Linked DNA regions of Mus musculus: region 2 is reported to be linked to region 1. The links are microRNA targets in miRTarBase. Many come from high-throughput screens and were not tested one by one. Region 1 holds a microRNA gene; the other region holds the end of a gene's coding sequence.

Region 1 (3,220 bases):
ACCACAGAATGCCAGTTGAGACTGCTGGCTTTGTCCTGAATTAGCCAGAGGATGGTGGTTTTACAACTTTATGGAAGCTTTGAAACCAGAACAAGCAGAAATAGTGGTGAGTAGGGCTCAGATGTCCTGGCCTAGAGCACGAGATATGTGTATCTCTTTCGTTGATTTCTGTCCAGCAAGTCTGATATAAATTGAGCTGTTCTTATTTTTAGCTCTAGACAAACCTAGAGATTTTTAGTACAGTCTAAAAGTCATCTCCTTGGGCTGGGGCATAGCTCAATGGTAGAATACCTGTCTAGCTTGTGTAAAGCTCTAGGTTTAATCCCAGACACTGGGACTAGGGGATAGGAGAGGATCATGTCCTTTTACTTGAAGGATAACAGCCAAAAGAACTAGATTCTTCCTAGGCCAGTTTTTAACTTTGTTTTTCTTTGTTACAGAGGAATGATATTGCCATGGCAATTACAAAATTTGATCAGTTCGACTTTCTCATCGATATTGTTCCAAGAGATGAACTGAAACCTCCAAAGCGCCAGGTGAGCTGGGAGGATTTGCTCAGCTGCCACCTCCAGGGCCTGGGCAAGATGCTCTCCGGAGCTCCTCCCTCCCTCCCACCCAAAGCATTTCTTGTTTGTGGTTCTCTTCCGTAGTCCAGATCATCCTCAGCATCTCCTTCTACTCATTTATGGGTACTTTTAACTCAGTGCCTCTGGGGTGGGGTTGCAGTGAGAGAACAAAGTTAAAAAGACTAGTCACAGATAGTGGGGTGAAGCTCAGTTCAGGATTTCTTCATCTAAAATAAAAGCTTTTTCAGCCAGTCAGTTTTCAGATTCTAAGAAACAACCTCTTTGTGCATAGTGATCAGATTGGAGCCAGTGGCTTTTATTTTCTTACTCTATGCTGTGTCTCTGTAGTGTGATGACTCTACCCATCATCCACTGAGTCAGAACCTATGACCCCATGACCCCAGGAATCAATAATTAAAGTTCCCTAGATGCTTTGGTGTCCAGTGAAGTTTTAGAACCACCATTTACATTTTTCTTTTTAATTACAAGAACTAAGTGTCTGCCCTTCTTCTGCCTGTTCATCTCCAAAGATCACACCATTTGTTTTGTTCAGCACTTGGGTGCATATAACTTAGTTGTGATTGTGATAGACCCCAGTCCTATAGAGCTCATTGTTTCAGGCACGCAGTTTGCATGATTCACTAGGTTTAGTGTAATATGCCTCAGAGAAGTAAAGCCATACCATGTCCTGCTTGTTTTATTTTTGTTCATAAAATATAAGTGTTTTTAACTAATTATTTTGTAGTATACTGTTTAGAGTCATTTAATGACAACCATTCTCCCCATGTTGACCTGTACAAATAACCAGTCAGAAAACCTGTTGGAGAAGTGGGCATCCTAATTGACATTAATTCTGACCCTGCATGAGGGTTTTTGGGTTAGCAAGCCCTGGGTCACCTCCTTATGGGAGCAGGTTGTGCCTCACTGAAGCTCTTTATTTTTCTGGGCAGTCTTTGCTACTGTAAACATCCTTGACTGGAAGCTGTAAGGTGTTGAGAGGAGCTTTCAGTCGGATGTTTACAGCGGCAGGCTGCCACAGTCGTCCCCGGCTGCGCTCATCGGCTTTGAGACATTGCAGGTTTGTGCCCATGAACTTGTCTCCTTTTCTTGGGTTACTTCCTTTCTCTCTGAGAAGTCACAAGAACTCAGACTGTCTCTCTTCGTTTGGAGCTGATAATACCATGAGCCTGTTTTCCTTATTGGATTTTTGCTCCCATGTATCCACCAGGAGTTTCCTTTAAAGACAAGGTGGTAAGATCTGTGATGCAGTCAGGCATTGCTCTTATTGTACTGATTGTTCACTATGGGCTGCCTGCTGAATAGATGACTAAAGAGAAAGTTATTATCCTATACCAGTGGTTCTCAGCCTTCCTAATGCTGCACCATTTAATACAGTTCCTCATGTTGTAATAACCTCCCAACAATAAAATTTTTTTCATTGCTATTTCATAACTGTAATTTGCTACTGTTATGAATTTTAATGCAACTATCTGTTTTTCAGTAGTCTTAGGTGATCCATGTGAAAGGATCTTTCCATCCCACAAAGGGGTCACAACCCACAGGTTGAGAGCTGCTGACCTATACCTTCCTCCAAAGTTGTTTGTTCTTCTGGGTCTGTCAGGGTGTTAGATTTGCTGGTGGTCTACCCCATCTCCCTCTTTTGTTCTTTGGTTTGGTTTGGATTTTTGAGATAGGCTCTCCCTGTGTATCCCTGGCTAGACTAGACTGTGTAGACCAGGTTGTTCTGGAACTCGGAGAGATCTATCTGCTTCTGCCTCCTGAGTGCTGGGATTCAAGGCATGGACCACTATACTTAGTCCATCTCCCTTTAAAAGGTATACAGCAAGAACACTCCTTTAGCTGCCTGGTTTTAGTTCTTTGTAGGTGTTTGAGCTATTGATTGGCATCCTATTCAGGACAGCTGCTGCCTGGCATTTAAAAGGTTGAGATTGCTGAAAGCTGGCCTGAAATTCTAAGATAGCATTTTTTAATTCTCTGTAGACATGAAGTTTTCCCAAGCTCCAAATTGGCTGGCACCTCCTAAAGTCCTTTAAAAGTGCCTACTCTCCAAAACACACCCTCTGAAGGAGGCAGCAGTTCACCCTGCCACTAAAGCAAATGTATTTTTTCCCCTAGTCTGGAGCTGGCTGCTCATCAGTGTAGTGATGACCCTGTGCTGTGATACTGTTTGTTCACTGTCACTGTTTTTCAGTCTCAGCACTGGAGAAGCCACTGTTAGTGTGGAGCAGGTACCCTTCTGTACTGAGTGTTAGCATGGAGCAGGTACCTTTCTGTACTGACCTATTCGGTCAGGTGTTTTCCTAGGGCTTGGTGCTGATCCATCTGGAAAGGGAGACACTGGATTATGAGGCTTCTCAGAGATGATTTGGAGTCTCCCTCTCTCTTTTTTGCCATGGAAGTAAGTAGATTGTCTGCAAGTAGATGGTAGTTGAGGGTTGACTTCTCCCCGACTAAGCTATGAGTTGAAAGTTCCTTGCTCATTGAAATGTCATTATCTTTTCACCCATTTCTTTAAATCAAGCATCATCATTTCCTGCTGGCTTGATCTCCATTTGCAGAATGAGTGCTTCATAAAGCAGAAGAACCTTACTTGTGCCTCCTTCCATCACAGCAATTTGAAAATAGCCATGCTT
Region 2 (3,000 bases), not on the chromosome of region 1:
GCTGGAGAAACATTGTCTTGATATAGCTTGCTTAGAAGTCTTCGCCATTAATGGAGATCAAATTGTGCCACTCAAAAGAACACTTGATCTCAAGAGGCATTTGGTGTCTTGTCTTGTTCTAATTCTATGTAAAACAGAGTAGTAGATCTTAAAATATGGTAACTATAATTCAGTAAACAGTGGTGTCCAGGAGATTACTATCAGTGAGCATGATGTTCTTCTAAGGAAAGTTAAATGATTTTTTTTTTAAAATCAGGAATACTATTTCTAAAAGTTCCTTTCCAAAAACACTTTAGGCAAGAAGCTTAGCTTATGGAGACTAGCTAGAGTCTACCATTGTTGGCCACAGTTGAGTGGTCAGGGAGAGCAGGGCATAGTTCTATGTCATATTTTATAGGAGCAGAGCTGTGGCCTAGGCATTGAAAGCAAGAGTGGGGGTGGGGGGGAAAGCTTCCAGGGTCTGTTTTGGCTGATTAGATCAATGCAGATGAGTTGGATTACGACACGTTCCCCTTCTCCATGCATTGTAAGTCAGCTGGGTGGCAGGGTGTATGATGGATGCTTGCCAGGGTTGGAGCCAAGATAGAAAGCTCTTGTTTCATTTTCTTACCAAGCCAGCCTTGCTAACAGGACTGGGACTACCCAGATGGATCTCCCCATCTCCTGTTCAGGGGTTCTCACCTATCATTTTCTCAGATCCTTCAGTTTCTCTTGCAACACAACACAGTAGAGGTACATCTCCTGTTTTCCAAAGATCTGATTAAAAAAAAAAAAGACATCACAGCCACTAGTTCTAATGATGTGCTCATATACTGTTAAGGTGGCGTCTTCTGTTTAGATGTCACTTGTGGTGCCTCTGTTTCAGAGGCTGGAGTTGCCCCACTGGGAGCATAGTCTGTGCACAGCTGGGCTTTACTGCTGCCTTTTATTGGTTTTTGTGATTATTATTGTTATGATGAGTGCTGAATTCTGGGGTCCTGCTATGCAGGCTTCCAGGACATTCTCTTCCATCAGGTACCCGAGGAAGCACTGGAAAGAGAACCCTGACAGAACTGAGTCTAGTCTTAGGCTGAAGGCATACCCAACCTTTAGCCTCTACTTTCCATTCTCCAGGACATCATCTTGATTTGGTTCCCACACAGGAAGAGAATACAAAAGAAGCATCCTAGACTTTCCAGTGCCCAAGGAGACAGGGAAGATCATGATGAAGCAGGTGACATGGATGAGGAAAATGAAGATGATGACAAAGACGGTGAGCATTGTGTTTCCCACAGAGTCCTTGGCTTCTAACTGATTAGATTCATATTTCCTCAGAGGAGTCACCTGTCATACTCTTTGTTCATGCAGATAATTTGGATAAGCATCCCAGCTCTCCACAATGAATTCAACTGGAAAGTGGGAATGATAAAGACTATCTGGCAGTAAGAATAGCAAGAGATGAATCAGCAAATAGAACCATGCCCAGAGGAGTGCCTGGTCCTTATCGGCAACTTCATTAGTGTGGCTTGAACTTGAATTTTCATAGCTTTAGAAAGAACTGTGATGAAGAATACTGATTTTATCTTGAACATGACATAGCAGGCATGCTACCTTCTCTGAGCCTGATGACCTTATCTGCCAAATGGGAACAATAAATCCCCCCAAAGGGCTGTTGTATGTGTGAAAGGAATGTCGGAGGAGGGAGCTTATACTGCCCGACACTAGCAAGAACCAGCAATTAATAGCTATTCTTTCTTTATGCTCCAATGAACAAGTTACTAAGGAGAGAAGACATACCGTCCTGTGGGGATGAATGTGGTGGCTTTGTCCTCCTGCCCCGGTTACTGCCATGCTAGGATCTGCACCCTACAGTGCACTTTCCTGGTGAGTTCCTTTGGTGTGAGCACCATGGAAAGAACAGTCACATAAATTGGGGTCCCAGGGTGCCAAGACTTTTGCTGCCTCCTTGTGAGGCTTCCTGCCTTTTCTTTGAAGACAAGGCTTAAGTCAGAAGCAGAGACAGGGAGAGGAGGAAGGGTGCTGAGGGTGATTACTTCACAACTAGACTACAATTGGGAAGTCGCTGGGAGGTCCTTTCACTCCCCTTTCTGCTAATGGGAGAAGGTCAAGGTGTCTGGCATGGAGGCTATCTCACTCCTAGAGGGCAGTGGCAGGCAGCAGTGGGAACTGAAAAATTGGGTGTCAGAGGGAGAGATTTACTTTTGCACCTACTTCTTCTATGTACTTAGGCCACAAGGTCTGCTGCTCTTAACACGACCTGCATACAAGGTCCTATCATTTGCTATGTCCACCCTTCCCTATCTACTTAGCAGATAATTCCTGCAATTCTTCTTGGACTTTGTGAGGCACAGATGATGGACCCTCCGCTTGGCTTCCCTCACTCTATGCTCAGAGTATTGGCATTTTGTCATAAGAGGATGTTTTGGAATTGTTTTCCTTTATTAGAAGTAAGTACCTCAAGGGCAGGAACCGGATTGAATTTGTCTTTCATTCTCAGTTGCTAGCACAGTGCCTGGCCCAAAGTGGATGGATGCTCATACAAAGTTAGCTTTCCAACCTTGTTTGAGCTATGATGGAGATGGCCAGGGCACCGTGATACAGGGTGTCCAGCGGTCAGCAGCAGTGGCAGCAGCATGGAGGGATGAGAGGCACCTGTGTCAAATCTCTTCTTCTTCATTAGCCTTGCTCCAACGGTGACAACAGTTGGCCGTGATGCCCAGGAGGAAGTTGGTGGCTACAGAAGCGATGGAGACCACAAAGCCCACAAATGCGATGAAGAGGTAATCATCCAGGGTCAGAGTCAGGTGGCAGGCCTTGAAGCTCTCTTCAGTGAGTGAAAAGAGGGGGGCACCCTCAACTTCAGGGGGTCCCCGACACTCAGCAAGCTGAGAATCTGCAACACAGAAATGGGTTAGGGTGAGACTTCTGTGGGAGAGGACGGGATGGAAAAGCCTCCCACTAACCTGCTTCCAGAGAGTTGCTGAGTCTTTTCTATGTGCC

What was found. Region 1 holds the annotated microRNA mmu-miR-30e-5p (UGUAAACAUCCUUGACUGGAAG, at 1,527-1,548, shown strand). A microRNA usually pairs through its seed, bases 2 to 8, with sites in the 3' UTR of a target mRNA and lowers its output. Matches are read on the target gene's strand: a 7mer-m8 pairs with bases 2 to 8, a 7mer-A1 pairs with bases 2 to 7 and ends in A, and an 8mer does both.
Region 2: the mRNA of Lrrc55 is a reported target of mmu-miR-30e-5p. Seed matches in the 3' UTR shown: 7mer-m8 at 173-179.

Annotation. Positions count from the first base shown.
Region 1 is chr4:120,770,988-120,774,207 of GRCm38, reverse strand. It overlaps Mir30e (microRNA 30e), which reads left to right and starts at 1,511; the gene lies at 1,511-1,602. It overlaps Nfyc (nuclear transcription factor-Y gamma), which reads left to right. Exons shown (of 10, transcript NM_008692.4): 5 at 441-536. It overlaps Mir30f (microRNA 30f), which reads right to left and starts at 1,602; the gene lies at 1,511-1,602.
Region 2 is chr2:85,189,253-85,192,252 of GRCm38, forward strand. It overlaps Lrrc55 (leucine rich repeat containing 55), which reads right to left. Exons shown (of 3, transcript NM_001033346.4): 3 at 1-2,893. The coding sequence ends at 2,658. Among named protein-coding and RNA genes, the nearest start is that of Lrrc55, 8.0 kb to the right of the region's middle.